Nothobranchius furzeri: one gene and its partner. The protein of the gene in region 1 interacts with the protein of each later gene in a biochemical or structural test. Links are inferred from orthologs where the notes say so. Each region holds a gene or a part of one and is shown on either strand. Other genes may lie near its edges. The genes, in order: cyth2 and arf6b.

Evidence for each region.
Region 2: the proteins of cyth2 (region 1) and arf6b form a complex in vitro, tested with the Homo sapiens proteins (3 studies listed by BioGRID and IntAct, with this or other methods). The link is inferred for Nothobranchius furzeri from reciprocal best matches to the Homo sapiens genes CYTH2 and ARF6.

Annotation. Positions count from the first base shown.
Region 1 is NC_091745.1:76,530,808-76,539,162, reverse strand, and holds the start of cyth2 (cytohesin-2), read right to left. Parts: upstream 5,001-8,355; 5' UTR 4,867-5,000; coding exon 4,800-4,866; intron 3,787-4,799; coding exon 3,636-3,786; intron 3,431-3,635; coding exon 3,364-3,430; intron 3,287-3,363; coding exon 3,168-3,286; intron 3,089-3,167; coding exon 3,008-3,088; intron 2,781-3,007; coding exon 2,668-2,780; intron 2,088-2,667; coding exon 1,939-2,087; intron 1,859-1,938; coding exon 1,747-1,858; intron 1,182-1,746; coding exon 1,105-1,181; intron 1-1,104. UniProt on the Homo sapiens protein: Acts as a guanine-nucleotide exchange factor (GEF). Promotes guanine-nucleotide exchange on ARF1, ARF3 and ARF6. Activates ARF factors through replacement of GDP with GTP.
Region 2 is NC_091758.1:32,005,621-32,013,771, forward strand, and holds arf6b (ADP-ribosylation factor 6b), read left to right. Parts: upstream 1-2,972; 5' UTR 2,973-3,094; intron 3,095-3,308; 5' UTR 3,309-3,936; coding exon 3,937-4,464; 3' UTR 4,465-5,086; downstream 5,087-8,151. Other genes in the region: aspg (60 kDa lysophospholipase), read right to left, coding at 1,005-1,332. UniProt on the Homo sapiens protein: GTP-binding protein involved in protein trafficking that regulates endocytic recycling and cytoskeleton remodeling. GTP-bound form plays an important role in the transport of multiple palmitoylated proteins form the Golgi to the plasma membrane.

The DNA of each region.
Region 1 (8,355 bases):
CTGTGCAGCAGCTCATCAGGCTCTGCAGAAGCCTGTTAATCACCTGCTGATTAAAATCAGGTGTGGTGAAACAGAGTTAGAACTAAAACACGCTGGATATCAGACCTCAAGGCCCGGAATTGGATATCCCTGGTCTAGCCACACCTCACTGTAGCCTCAGCAGGTCGGTCTACCATTGGCCCAAACTGTTTTGTGTCTAGCCAATCACAGCACTCCAGGTTGGTAGAGACGTTGGGTGGACCTAGCACCAGAACAGCGACAGCTCAGCAATGCTCTAATCCCGCAGGGTAACTGCAGGTTTAAGGGAGCCAAATTTAAGACTTTTTAAGACCTTTTTTAAGGCCATTTTGACCAATTTTAAGCAATTTTTTAAAATTAAATTTAAGCTATAATTTCCAGCTATTGCCTGGAACCAGTGCTAACCACGTCGCCAACGTGGGATTAGCCATCCAGTTACCATTAAACTTTCACTTCCCCATGGTGCAAGCTCCCACTAGCTTAACCAGCTAATGTGCTCATGTAAAAATAGCCCCCTTTCACAACCAACTGAATGTGTACGGTTCCGCTTACGCCAACATTATACACAAAAATTGCTGAACACTAACTAGAAATTTATAAAAATTTTATGGAAAGAAAATAATCTTGTTTATTGGGTCTTTGGACATTTAAGACCGTTGGAAACTGTATTTAAGGATTGTTTGTCATTTTTAAGGATTTTTAAGGCCTTAAATTTGGAAAAGCAAATTTAAGACTTTTTAAGACTTTTTAAGGACCCGCGGATACCCTGTGGATGATTTAGACTTGGGCTTTTCTTGGGAATCATGAGCAGACAGAGGTGTGTGTCAGACTGCCCCGTTGACTGATGTACATAGCAAATAACACGTCACATTATTTGTTGCTGATTGGTCCTGGCGCTATCCGATTACGTGCGCAGACTGTTAGAAAGACAACCTTCGATTCTGCCCCACGACCGGGTTGTTTCAATGGGTCGGACTACATATTTACATATATAGGATGGCTTGCCAGGCTAATCTGAAACAACTACTCAGTTTAAATTCTAAACATAATAAAATACTTCTTATGGTTGTTGCATTAAATACTTACTGTGGTGTATTCAAAGTAATAAAGGCAATTATCGGTAAGAATGAACCATCGACGTTTCCAGGTTTTCACTCGTCCTCCTGGGAAAAAGTCACAACAGGACAATAAGAGATGGAAGTTAAAAGAAAAAAAAAAGGATTTGAACTTTTACTCTACCAAGCTACGAATTCTGTATTCTAACTACGACCTACTAATACTTCTACAACTTTTTGGACGCTCTTCAGTACATACCTCCTGAGAAAACAAGCAGCGGCAGTAGAGGGTGGAAATTTCAGGGAAGAAGCAGAGACAAAAAGAAACCGGAGGATTTAGAAGGGAGGTAGAAGAGGGGACGGAGATCGTATTAGTGACACGTTGATCACAGGTCGCCGTCATGCAAAAAGAAAACAAACAGATGTCCAAACTGCCACGGCACACAGGAGTGAGCGCGTCTTTCACCAACACACCATGGAGATGTTTAAACACTGCCACGGTGTGAGGCGATGATTCAGGTGGAGACAAAGAGGCGACGAGCCTCAGAGACAGGAGGACAAGGTCATCACAACACAGAGAGGTGAAAGTACAGAATGTAACACTTTGTCCTGATACCGGCATCACACACCGAGCTCCTCAGCTACAGATTACACGAGATCAGGGTCAAAATACCGAGTTTGAGAAGCCAGCCCTCCCTGTCTGGGTTGAAGAACGTGTGCGTCAGGTCGTTCCCGTCGTCCTCTGGGATCTTAAAGGGCTCGTTTTTAATGCTTTCATACAGATTCTGGAAAACCAAACAAGACAAATAAACAAATAAATAAACAAGCTCATAAATATTCTAACGGGGCATCCAGTGACTCGTACTCTGAGCAGCTCCTCGGGCAGGTCCCCCCCCTCATTGATGCCTCGGTTCATTGAGATGAAACGGTCCAGTCCAGGTTTGTCCCTCACATTTGGGTTATGGAGGCTTGTGTTCAACATTATTATAGCAAACGAAAGCACATAACACGTGTCTGCAAACAGGAGAGGAAAGAGAAGAACTAAGAGAGTCAACAGAAACACACTTTACAGCAGAGCATGGGTTATGTTTGCATATTTTCTGCTCTAAGTGGATGTTTGGAACTGGCTGAACAATTTCTCTTCCATCATCCCAGCCTGCAGTACAGATATGTGGACTTATGTTGCAACGTGTTAATCCTGCTGAGCTTATTGTGCCTGAAGCAAAGGGAAACCTGACTACATGTAAAACATTACAGAACAATTGACGGAAACAATGAAAAACAACACTAACTGCCTTTAATGAAAGGTGTGTATAAATGTTAAGAGGGAATGCTTTCTGGTCAGGGGCAGATTATGTGAGGGCCGACCTTTGGCAAAAATACCTTTAGTCACTTTGGCTTCGCTTGAACAAACACAGAACTCATAAAAAATAAATAAGAAAAGAGCACCGTAAGGCAGAAATGTGGTGTAAAAGGGCCAGCTCAAAACAAAACACATCTAAAGGTGCAAAAAATATTTTAAAATAAGATTCATGCTGGTTAAAAATGGCATTACTACTAGCCCTACGAGAAAAACGGTTTGTTTTGTGATTACCGGTGCTCTGGAAGACGCCGGGGTTGCAGTGACAATATCTCTGAGCAAAGGCCTCCATCATTCTGTCGATTTTCTGTGCTTCACCAGGCAAACGGAAGCTCCACAGGAACTGTCTGTAGAAAACAGGACAGGGTTCGGGTCAAGCCTAAGAGATCAAATTCAGCCACTAAGGCAGAGTTACATAGTCAGTTTTGACTTGTTGCATAATGTTGTTCCAACCCAATCTGAGAGAAGGGGGGGGGGGGTTCCATTGTTGGGCATGTTTGTCCACTAGAGAATCCCCGATTACATGTTAATAGCTTCATATAATGCAGAACCAACAGAAGTGGATGCAGTTCACCTGAGAGCCTGGACGAGGTTGAGATCTGTGAACTCGTGGAGGTCGACAAAAGCTTGAAGCACTTTGATGTTGAAGTCATCTCTGCAGCAAAACAGACCACAGTTACAAACGGCTGCATGAAAGAGACGACAGGAACAAAAGACACTTCAACACCTCCCACCTCTCTCCCAGGTAGTCTCCTATGGCAGTCTTGTTGAGGCCTTCTCCTTTGTACAAGAACTGAGCGATGTCTTCTGGTGTGTGTCTGAGCAGCTCATTCTCTACCAAAAACGTAATACCCTGCAGAAATAGTCCATAAATGAAAAGAGCAATCCCAGAAAAATATCAAAATCAGCAAATCTAAAGGACAGTGTTACCTTTTTAGGGTCCATGTTGAATTTCTTCCTTCCCATCGCTACGTGCCGACTTTTTTGAAGAGTTTTACTGCAGAAACAACACAAGTTAACTCAATTAAACCGCATACTTCTTTTAAGACACCAACAAGTTATTGGAAACAAAAACACAATAAATACTAATAGAAACATGAAAAACTAACACACAAGTTTAAAAATCTGTGCATATTGTGTTGATTTAGGTCAAAAGCTGCAATGCTATTTCTTTGATTTATAGTAAATAAGAATTTCTTTACCTGCCCTCTGTGCTGCTCTCTAGTCCCTCCACTTCTAAAATAGCCTCCCTCAACTCCTCCCTGAGCCTCTGGATCTCCTGCAGCAGGACGCCCTTCCTCCTACGAATGTCCTCCAGCTCAGAGCGCTCCTCTGGGCTCAGGTCTACTGGGACTGCAGGGGAAGACAAGAGAATGACAGCATTGGTGCTGCAGAACCAACAAAACGTTAGCTGTGCCCAAAGAATCTAGGTCAAAAGCAATCTCCACTAGTGGGAGAAAATGTTTGTTTTATTAAAACTAATTAAAAATACTAAAATTATGAATTGCACATGAAAAGCCTGAAAGAACTCAGCATTTCCTTGCTAGCTGCGTGGTTTTCATTTGAAGTAAAACTGGTGCAAGTTGGTAAATTTCCCAATAATTTTATATTTGAAAGCACCAACACCTTACAATGTGTATTTTGTCATTAAACAACTAGAATTATTTTTGTCCTGCTGAAGGTGGGTGTGATTTAATGACACAGCCTGATGTCCATTGAAGACATTTGGAAGTGCAATTCAATGAAATTCAACAGCACCACCACCTGCAGCTTTCAACTGGACCAACAATATTACAGCAGAAACCAACAGCAACTCTCTCAACTAAACATTGTAGTGATGCTAGAAACGGGTAGTTAATTTTCTGTTAACATTTCGCCTTTAAACTAATCAATTCAAACCACGTAGAAAATGTAAGCTCTTGGTGGATATTTTTAAAATCCCCAAACCATTGTAACCCCCCAAAACAATAAAATGCCACACCCAAAGCATACATTTTTCTACATACCTAAATGTTTATTACTTACGAGACTTTAGAGGCTTTTATGTTATAATTAATCGCTTATAAGACCTTTATATGCAGTTTGATGCGTAAATCATGTCCACCGAGGTTAGCTGTAAAGTTAGCCAAGAACAAACACCGACAGAATCAATAGTTAATTAGCAAAAACAATATGCAGTTGCGGCTTATTTCTACATACATGCTAAATACGTACACACGTTTTTATAGAGAACAAAAAAGACGACTGGTATGATCACCGGGAGAAGTTAGTCTAACGGAGCAAATATAAAGTCAACCAAAAGCGACACAGCTAGCCAGTTAGCTACGGCGGCGTTCCGAAAAGACCGACTCAGTAAGCCCACTTACTGTAGTCCAGGTCATCCATTTTTGGCGCTTTATTTTTAGGCATAAATAGTTCAGAGTCGACTGTCATTAAATGTCAGAAAATTGGGGATATATTAGGAAATATATCCACAGAACTAAAAGGAAAAAATTGACATCCCCTGGTGTTGAAATCCTGGGCCGTAGACAAAGAAGGTGGCGACACCGGAAGCGGTGTCGATCGACTTCCGGTCAGTCAACTTTCAAAATAAAACAACAAAATTCACTTTAGCATAATGCACAATATACAAAAAATACAAAGTTGAATGTTTAAGACTTAACCATTTATTACTATCCCTCATTAATTATAAATTACAATTTTGTATAAAATATACTCCAGTTTCCGTGTGGGTCCAGTGATTTTTCTGTTAACATGAGAAATCTAAAAGAAAGGAGATTAGGCAGGGGGGTTTCCTATTATTCTGGTTTAACTTCATTTTAAACTCTGATTTGGTTTCACTAAAACACTCATCACTGAAGTTTGTTCTTTGCATTTTGCTCCAGACTAGGCTAATAGCAATAGTTGAGTTGATCGCTGATATGGTGCCAGCTTGATCTCAAATTATATTTCAGATTGTATATAAAGCCCATTATTACCCAATATGACAATTTGCTTTGTATCAGTAACACCCATTTGGCCTACAAAATGAAAATTAATCTTGCAATTTGGCTAATCACCTTTTGGTATGAAGAGTCTAATTCATAGTATAGAAACTCTTTAGTACATTTGATTGTATCAGAGGAGCAACCTAATGCAAGTTCAGTCCAGACTGTTGTATCCAACTTTTTAGTTGCTTTTACAACCCAAACCAAAATCACCAATGAAGTGAAGAACTGAGGGTTTATTTTAAGTTTGTCTTAAAGGTGCATTATGTAGAAATGAAGTAAAAAGTATATCCTGTGGTAAAATGTGGTTACTGCAACCACTTTAAACAACTGGAGCTTTTTGCTGACCGTCATCAAATTATAATAGTTGGCACTGCAATATTAACTCACGGGAGACATGGCGACCCCACACTCACTGATGGTAAACAGCAGTTACGTCACTCCTTCCTTTGTTTTGAAAGGAGAAAAACTGACAATCCAACAGCCAGCTGGATGTGAAATATGTTCCAGTAAAACTTTCCTTGCAAAATGACAACACACTTTTGGTATTTTCTCACTGTATCCCTACATACTGCACTTTTAACACAATCCAAGCCAGGCATTTGATTTGTCAGTTTGGTAAAATATCCATGTCCAAACTAGGGCTGACCTGATCAGGTTCTTTTGCTCTCGAGACTGAGTCATTTAATTTTGAGCATCAACCGATACCAAGTCCTGATCCAAAACTTCTATCATACATTTAAAAAATAATGAAAACGAGCAAAGAAACAGATCCAGGATGTTCCTCTAGTAACAAACAGAGCACTTCTTGAACAATCAAGTAATAAATACCAAAATTCTTCACTTTTGGACTTCAGTTTAATGTTGTCATCAACTTTTTACCTCCCAAGACTGCATACATCCAGCTTCACTGGCTGCCAGTCAACTTCAGGGTTCATTTCAAGATCCTGGTTCTGGTCTATAGGGCCTTACATGGACAAGCACCATCTTACATTGGTGATCTTCTTAGTCCCTACACCCCCAGCAGGTCCCTCAGGTCCAGTGACCAAAGCCTACTGGTTGTGCAGCACCAGGCTAAAGGTCAAAGGTGACAGATCATTTGCTGCTGTGGCCCCCAGACTCTGGACCTCTCTCCCCCTGAGCCTGAGATCAGTGGACTCAGTGGTCTCCTTTAAAAAGCAGCTGAAGACTCACCTGTTCAAGCTGGCTTTTGTATGACCTTCTTCACCTCTCTCTCTTTATTCTGCTCTCCCCACCTATTCCACCTTCCTCAGGACCCACCGATTTCCCTCTTTCCTGTTTACTCTCTCTCTTTCTTAACTTTTTTAATCACAATTGCCTATTTTTGCTCATTTTAATATATTTTTAAACATTTTCTAAATGCTTTTTTATATTTTTACATGTTTTGTTTTTGTGAAGCGCCTCGTGATTTTGATCGAGAGGCGCTATAGAAATGATATTTTCTTCTTCTTCTACATACTTGCGCTTTTCTACTTCCATGTTCCACTTTGCCAGCGTTTAACCAACAAAGAGATGTCATGCCGCACAGGTTGCTGTTTCAGTGTGGAGTCAAGAGGTCCAAGTCTGTGTTAAATTGTTAAAAAAATAAATAAATTATATGTATCCCGAGTCTGGATCGGGAGGTACTGTCCAGTTCTGACCGATCAGGACCAATTTCCAATCACGCGATCAGATCTGGGCATCCCTAGTAAAAGCAGTTAGTACACGTTTCAGATGGAGTGAATATTTCATCTTAGATAAATAAGATTGAGGTAAGAGACCTTTAAAGTAAAATCTAAAGCAAAAATACTCTAATCTTTTTCAGAGACACGTTAGAAAGACAAATGATTTTACACAAGACAAATGTATGAAGTTACATTTATTTGCAAACAGATAACTATAATTGGTACACTGCATTTGTATACATTTCATTGATTTAGTAATAATTACCATTTGATTACAGGTAGTTTACTACAGACAAATTCATAGCATTTTCAACTGGACACCGTCATAGCAAATTGGTCTACAACACCATGGTCCCGGCTCTGGCCACTGACGACGCTGGTCTAGGAAAGTAAACGGTCATGACTAGGCTCTTCAACACCAAGAGTAAACATTTTGGCAACAACTTTTCGCCCAAAGTGTATGTATCATTTTCTGTTTTAGTAATATTACAAGCTTAGCCTCAAAGTGTACTAGCATTGGTAGCTGTGTAAGCTCAAAGCAGCGTTGGTAGATTAGTTGTATTGTGCACTCAAAAAGGGAAACAAGGCAGAAACAAATCTTTTTTTTTTTAACTCCATTCGTTGCGGTCGGGTTTAAACAGTTCATCATTAGCAGCCGGAATTTACAGGCTTATTACACAAAGGCATCGATTTGACAAATACGGTATGCTGATGGTGATCCAAGCAGTTGGCAGGTGATTTTACCGATTCCTACATTACACATGCTAATGATTTAGCGGAGGTTGAGTGTTTCAGCAGGTTTGACGATAACAAAATTAATGTTTAAACAGTACGTCACCCTCCAAAATATCATATCTGATTGAATGCTACTTTTGGAAGTATTACTGTTCTCAACAGGCTTCAGTGTGAGTTCAGCGGGCTGGCTTTGCAGCTGATTAATCACAGTGCAAGTTGTTCGTTTGTCTTCCATCTTAGTTAAAGCCGATCTAAGAAAACAGCGCTGCCTTATTTTAGTCTTGTCGTTTTTAAAAATGTATTATGTCTGTCTGTAAACTCTAACTTTCTACATTTGTGTTCAAATTACAGCAATAAATAAAAGCAATAATTTATTTCTTCACTAAAACAATGCTAGTGCATCCAGTTTATCAATCAAACCCTCTCTTAATAACATTCCTCTGATTTTAGTACTTATCTATTAGTATGCATCTTTCTGTGATGCTTTAATGTCAGTTTTTGTGCACCACCTTCTA
Region 2 (8,151 bases), on another chromosome or scaffold:
AGGAGATTTAGTCTCATCCCCTTCCGATCGGCTCACGGGTCCCGACTGTAAAAAACAATAATAATGTAGGCGAACGGCGCGGAGCTATAAAGGTTATTTTGTGGCCTTATGCCCTGAATCACACATATGTTGTACTTCAATTTAAATGATAAATAAGTATTCAGACTATGTCTGTCCCATAATTTGAGGTTTGCTTGCTTGTAAAAAATACTTAATTTAAACTACAAATCAGACGTCACATGTATGACATCACAGCAGAATCTTTTCTCCCCCGGTGCAGCTGGTACTGTCCACATGGCCAGATTTAAAGTGGTTTTCTCCATGTTTAATGTCCCTCCTTTCATTCTGGAAGAAGGATGTGAAGCTCGCTAAACTCACTGACATTTTTCTTCTTGTCTGATTTGATGATGTATTGTTTGAGACAATTATTAAGAGTTCTTTACGTGTTTTCACACAAAAACCTAAAGTTACTTTTGCCACCAGAACATGTATTTGAAAGTCACACGTCACATACCAAACGGATCAGAAAATAACTCAACTATTATCGAGCCATAGACTCCCATTCATTTTGGGGGGATTTTGGCATACCAATTGACCGGAAGTAGATGGACTCTCTCCATACAAGGAGCAACTTTTTATTTTGTTTGCATTAATTTTGTTTGCCCTATGTGTAGCAATTTGTGATGCATACTAATGCATGAAATCTTATTTATGAATAGAGTTTTATTCAATAAATATTAAATTATTTCTGCTCAGAGTTACACTATTATTTTATTTTTTAACGTGCTCCTGCGTGCTACACCATGGCGCACCAACCCTGTTATGACCAGTTGCGTTAAGCTGATCCGCAAGCTATTTTTACGTGACTGTCACGCAAAACTTAATCCAAGCCTCGTGTTGTTGAGAGGAGACATGTTCTGAACAAGCACCTGAACGCAACACCGGACGCTTCCTGAACGCCCCAGGGTCTAGTGCACTAAAATAGCACCGTTAGCTGAACATACCGTTATCGTGCAGCGTCATCCCGATGGTTCCCCCGGTGTTGATGACCAGCACTCGGGACTCGTCGGCGTAAGGTGAAGTCAGTAGCTCACCGTTCTCGACGGAGCTGCACTTTGACAGCCTTCTCATTCGGCTCGGGTGTCTCTGGAGGGTGGCTGTCGGAGAAATATCATTAAACTCGATCTGCTGAAGGGAAGTTTGAGACAGAGCTCGGCCCAGGGAGCTCGGGGAGTCGCAGTTGGAGTCCGCCATGGTGCCTTGAAGAGGTGTTTGTTCCTTGAAGGGATGAGAATACGGTGGTCTGGATGAGCTCTCAGCGCCCTGCCTCATACAATGTCTCCCCGTTTATACACAAAGCAGCTTGCGTGGGTTGAGGCTTTCACCAGAAGTGTGACTATTAATGTTGTCATATTTTAATTTCTAGCTCTTCCCCTGAAACCATCGCCTGAAACACGCGCATCCTAATCACCTCAAGTTTTGCCCTTAAAATTTTTGAAGGAGACACGTTTTCTCTGACGTCACCAAATGAAGGCGTGGCTCGGTGCTGGAGTTCAAGTGTAGCAAGCCATTCTAACATTTATCCAAGACAAAATTCCTGATAGTCCAAGCTTTCTTGTGTTCTGTAAACTTATTTTAGGGATTTTACAATTAAAATTGTTACAAAATAATTTTCAGATGAAAAAAATCGCAAATGTATAAATGGCTTTTTAAACTTTCAATTGTAAAATTGGTTAATACTTCCAGATAATTTGAATCAATGTTTCCTGGTCTAAGTGAAAAATGTGCATACATCAAAAATGTTTCATGTGGGTAAGGTTTTCAGCTGTATAGGACAACAAGTGCGTCTTTCCCATTTTTTGTCAAAGGAATCCATGTCTGAATTAGTGTTTTTTTTATTCTTGTGATAATTCGTTTTTTTTATTAGAATAAAAAAAATTATTTTGCTTATTCAAGATTATTTTTCGTGTTGTGTTTTGGAGTTCAATCTGTAGATAATACACATCTGTTCCATTTGATTTAAAGGTGTTTATAAAAACCTCAGTAGATTATTACAAAACCAGGTTCAGTCCAAGAGCCAACACCATCTTTGTAAATTTTCTTTGTCACAGCTCTGGCGCTAAGCCCGCACAACAAACATAGAGTGTTGTGATTGACAAGATACAAAAGTGTTCGGGCCAGTGGTAGACCTGCTGAGGCTACAATGGAGTGTTTCTATACTAACCTGGAATCAAATTATTTTTGCTGCTTCTTTGGTTGGTCTAGATTTTGAGGTTAAGAGAACTGAGCTGTGGGAATGAAGGTAATGACAAACTTTGTCCTAAGAATATGTTCATTTTGAGTAATATTGTTATTGCAATCAAAAATGTGAATTAGACGAGGAAGAAATAACTAGTTGTCTAGTTGTCTTACCATACATGAAGTTTTCCATGAAGATATAACTTTTCCAAATTAAAACATTTAGCAATAGAAAACAAATTGTCTACCATTTTTCTACCATCTAATAAATTCTTTACATTTATTTTTAATACAGTTTGAATTAGACAATAAAGGGCAAATAAAAAAATACGTATATTTGTAAATATCTGAAATGTAAGTTGATTTAATTATAGCCTCACAATTGTTGCTCTTGGTTTAATTTGCTCGAGAGCTAATGAATATAATACAAACGACCTAAGATGGCATCCAACATCTATTGACTGTGAATTCGTGGAAAACATTTTTTTAATTACTGAACTAGAATAAATTACGTTTTGGTTCCTGTCTAACCAATAAATGTTTAACGAAAGCCAAAGCAAAGAAAATAATTGATTGCTATATAACATTTTCCCACTCGCAGTTGAGAATTTATTTATTTGTTTATTTGTTTGTTTTGCTGACAGGTGAAGATGAAAGCAAGTTAAAATGTGTGCAGTTTGATTATGTTATACAACGGCCTGCCAAAAGACGGAACCAGTTTAATGGAGCAGACGAGAGGAAGTGGCTGTTGATGCAGTTCCACACCTTTCCGGTGTAGCAGGAGTGCGGCCAGCTCCAGTTAAAGAAGGAAGACAAGAGCTGAGTAAATTTATCGAGTCTGGAGGGAAATAAACGGGTAAATACCGTACCTTTGCACAAACCAGTATGAAATATGCAACTGTATACTGGGCAATGTGTCACCGATGCGTGTTTTGATGTTTTCATTTCAGTAGTTTACTGCAGCTAACTGGCTATCGCTAGTTAGCTTAGCTAATGCTAGCTGACTAACAGCCACGAGCGATAGCTGGCTAATTTTTCATGTCTGACCCTCCCCCTAAATCTCTTTTCAGTGCGACCAGAGTTTCCTGAGTGGGCCTTTTCTAACCGAGTCACTGGGATTTGTTTCTACCGTAATCGTCCCTTTGAGCGCGGTGTGACCGCCCGTCGCGACCTCCTTTGAAGAAGCCGCATATAGCGGCAGTTTCTCCCCAGGCAGCAGTGTACTGAACAAGGGCGCACCCGGTGAGGAGAACCGCCTCATACAACTAACACCAGGAGAAAATCACCTTCAGCATCGCGGCTTTTTTGGAGGGCCTCTTAACACACGCTGAATATCTCTGTCCCACGGCCAGTGTTTGTCCCAAATAACTTTATTTTTGTTTAGTTTTAAAGACAATGACTAGCCTGCAACTGCTGCTGCCAAGTTCCTAGTCCCACTGTGTCATGCTGTTTGTAGGCTCACGCAGAGGTTTGATCATCTGAACTTTAATGTTTTTGCGCTCAAAAGGATCCTGACAGGCTTCCCGGAAAACTATAGTAATCCTTTTTAGGTTTGAATATGTGTTTTTGATTTTTGGCCCAAATATCCCTTTTTTTTTATTCACGCTTTCACCAATACTGAAATCAAACACCTACAAATACATTATCAGACTTTTTTTTTCCCCTTTGGAACAAAATATTTATGCCCAAGAGTTCAAAATGGGGAAAATGCTCTCAAAGATCTTTGGCAACAAGGAGATGAGAATATTGATGCTTGGACTGGATGCTGCTGGGAAAACAACAATCCTTTACAAACTGAAACTGGGACAGTCTGTGACCACAATCCCTACAGTTGGCTTCAATGTGGAAACAGTCACTTACAAAAACGTCAAGTTCAATGTCTGGGATGTCGGAGGCCAGGACAAGATCCGTCCGCTGTGGCGACACTACTACACAGGCACCCAGGGCTTAATTTTTGTAGTGGATTGCGCAGACAGGGATCGCATAGACGAAGCGAGACAAGAACTTCACCGCATCATTAACGACCGGGAGATGAGAGATGCCATCATCTTGATATTTGCCAATAAGCAAGACCTTCCAGACGCCATGAAGCCACATGAAATCCAAGAGAAGCTGGGTTTGACCCGCATCAGAGATCGGAATTGGTACGTTCAGCCCTCCTGTGCAACCACGGGCGATGGACTGTATGAGGGGCTGACGTGGCTAACCTCAAATTACAAATCTTAATGAGTGCTGACTGTTTTAGGTCAAAGCATCCAAAAAAAGTAACAATTTCTCAAAAAATGTGTACGGTTAAGAAAAATTGATAATCTTCATTTATTTTGTTTATCCCTTGACTAATTTATCTTTAGCTGGGTTTGCTGGCTTAAAGTTTGCTTGTGTTCTGCAGCAGGCCTGAATTACAGTTATTAATGGGGCTTGCTTGAATATTGAAACAATTGGTCCTAAGGTTTAAAGCTATAGAGATCACCACATTTGCCTATTTTCTTCCTGTTTTATATAGTTTATATTATTCTAAGTTTTTAATCTTCATTTTCTGAAGCTGTTATGTCTTTGTTCAAGTCGGATCACTTATTTTTCTTCAACAGTCAGCGCTTTAATGTCGTGTAGCCTACTCGAAGGACTTGGGAAGTTTTGTTAACAGTACTGTGGCAAAAAACAGGAGGGGGTGAAATCTGGAGAGAAAAAAACGACTTTTCAGTCATTAGTCATCAAAGAAAAAACACGTTTTGTTACCCCCTCTGAACTTTTTAAGTGGGCTATCCAGTTAACTGATTGACCATTTTGTGTCATGTCTTGATATCTAATTGTGCTGAGTATTAAACAAATAGGCCACCAGTAACAGAAACATGCTTGTGGAAGTGCATTTTTTAAATGAGGGTAGTTGGCTCAATCTTTCCAAAGGAATGTCATTCAGCTCTGAAATCGCAACCTGATCTCACGGTTGGTTAGTCTCAGTGATTGGGACATTATATGATAGCCTATATCTGTAGCATGAGTACATCAAGTACATTAACCCTACCTACATCAGAGTCCATCTGTCGGTGCAGTCAGGGAGAGCCGTTATCTGGTGAGGTCGACACTCTGGGGTGCAGCGCTTACTCCTGTTTTGACTGGGGAACTGTACACAGAACAATGTCATTGTAATGTATTATTAAAAAAACAATTTTAAATAATTAATGTCTGTTTTATTGTATTTCATCAGGAATTAAAGATGAATCCACTTTAGCTTGTAGCTGATAAATCAGTTTTTAGTCAACTTTTGAGTCTAAAAGCTGGCCTCAGCTCCTTTTGCCAGTGGACGGGGAAAATGTCCCAAACAGGAAGTCCAGCCTCGGCCTTGTCTTGGAGCAAAGCCACATGTCGACTGAAAGGGCAGCGCTGAAAAACAGCTGATGGGGACTGGATTTGAATGCTGCATGTTGGTTTTGAGCCATATCGATGCTAGCAGGAAGTTGTGACGTCCTGAACTTATCTCTCTGAATCCGCTTCAATTCATTAAGATAAGATAATACCTTTTATTTGTGCCTCAATGGGGAAATTGTGTTATTGCAACAGCTCAAGTACAGTAGAATAGCAGCAGTAGCACACGAAAGATAACACACGAGTAGAATTATACGTTAGGATAAGTACTGCACACCGATAGAGGACTTGGAGCTTTCAGGTCTATAAAACTCCGAAGGTTTTGGTCAGACTGATTAGGTGACAAAACCACAATAACTCAGCTTCTGTGGGAAATATTTACAGCAAATAAACTTTAAACAGTCACGTCCCATTAATAAAACAAGTGTGCTGTGGCAAAGGGAGCTCTTGTTTTCAATCTTCATTAAAACAACACAACTTTATTAGCAACAAGGAAGGAGACAGAGATGAGATCCCTCAGGAAATGTTTGGGAATGGGGTTTCAGGAAGCTCAGAAATAGACCCATCCATCTCGTTTGGTAGTAAAAGAGGCTAAACTGTTGATGAACTCTTACTTTTGTTTGTGCAAGTGTGTACGGATATTGTCTTCCTGTTCCCATGACAACAGACCTATCTGCAGTGTGGCTGGTTTCAAAACAGAGGCTGACCTGGAAGTTGCTTAATTCTACATGAAATCAGGAAGAGGGGTTGGTAATCGAACCCCCCCCCCCCCCTCCCTAATATCGTCATCGCAGTATCAATCACTGTCATTGCCTATCGCAGGTTTTCCTAATGTGATGCAGTCCTATTTTATGGTGACCACTGGCAGACCTTCAGAAAACAGCGACTCATTAAGGAGGCTGTGTTCCGCTCTTACCAAACCTAACTTGAACTGTCATCATGCTTCTCAGGGGTGTGGTTTGTCTGACTCATTTGTCTCTGTTTCCTCTGAGCTCCTTCTGCAAACTTCTGCAGGTTTCTATTATTACACTGAACCGACTGGGGTTGCCGGCTTAATTCTGGCCTACGCTTCAGCCGCCGCACCCTTACAGGTCATCACTGCAGAATTCGCCAAACCCAGACATTTTTACTCTACAAAGCCCAACACTATTATTACGGTAGTTTATTTATCTGGTGATTTTGCTGGAAGGAACGCCTACTTTACACTTCATTTGTTACCTTTTGGTCCAATGACTGCTTATCCTCAGGGGCACTAAATGACCTGTTGGGTTGTGAAATTGCTCCCTCCCTGTCAACTCGGTCATTCCTCTGCAGCCTCCTCAAGCGCATTAGTCCTGAACTCGTGGAGAGCTGAGTTTAAAACAGGTGCGGAAGTGGATAAAGCCGTGTTTGGTTTCCTGTTTGAGGTCATGGGTGTTGAGCGTCGTGATAAGTATCGCCATGATGCGTCTTTGTTTTTCTCTGCCATGACCCAAGCTTATTTTGACTTCAGGTGTTTCAGTGCAGGGTTTATACAAACTGCTGTGGTAGGCAAGCCACATAAGATCGAAAATGTGCAGCCCTGGAGTCCAAGGTACTCTGGGCAGTGGTCCAAAACACATTCCAGTCATATCTCCAGCTGAAGGCTTGCTGTGGTGAAATTGCTAATCCAGGGAAACCGTAAAGTTATCATGAAGAGCTGTGCATCTACCTGACACGCTTAACTTCAACAAGTTCAACCATAAACAATTAAAATATCCAGTTTTTTAGTTACAATTCATCATGTGGGAATGCCCACACCGACCTTCGTGGGAATTTACAGATGTTTAACACAGTTGTATGAGTGTAAACCAGTTTGTCCGTGTGTGGTGATGAGCGGTGTTTATGTATCTGCAACACACAGAGACTAAAGAGGATCAGAAGTGAGCCTCAACCATCTTTCATTCAGGTGTGAGTTTCAGTATCAGAGGAAGGAGCAGTGGTGCCCCAAGGGGCTGGTCAGGGGGGCCGTGGTCCCCTCAGAGTACACCACCCATCCTTATAAAATAACAGTCATGTTCACACAAACCTGCATCCATCTTCTGTAATCAATACCTCAATGTTAAATACAAAAAAAAACCAAATCTATTTTAATAAATAGTTTATTTAAAGTTGCAATCCAGAATTTAATCTCTTACTGGAATTATGTGTGTTTTTTTTAGAAATCTATAAAATTGATAGTCTTATTTTGTTCTGTGACAGATGTTGGCAATAAGTCTTTTTAAATTTTTGATGAAATGTTTGTGTTTCTCAAATGTGAGGAATCGACAGTTACAATAGTGACCAATTTGCTGTGCCACCCCCAAACTTTTCACTGGCCCCCATATGAAATTTTTCTAGAAGCATCACTGCAATTTATTTAATTTTAACCAAAAATGATGAAATAAAGTAAATGTGCCTGTTTCTGATGTAATCTGATTAAATATATCCACCACAGCCAAATTCAATTCAAATTCAAAGATACTTTATTAATCCCAGAGGGAAATTAGAGTTTCAGTACACACAATTCTGAGATCAGAAATACATACATAG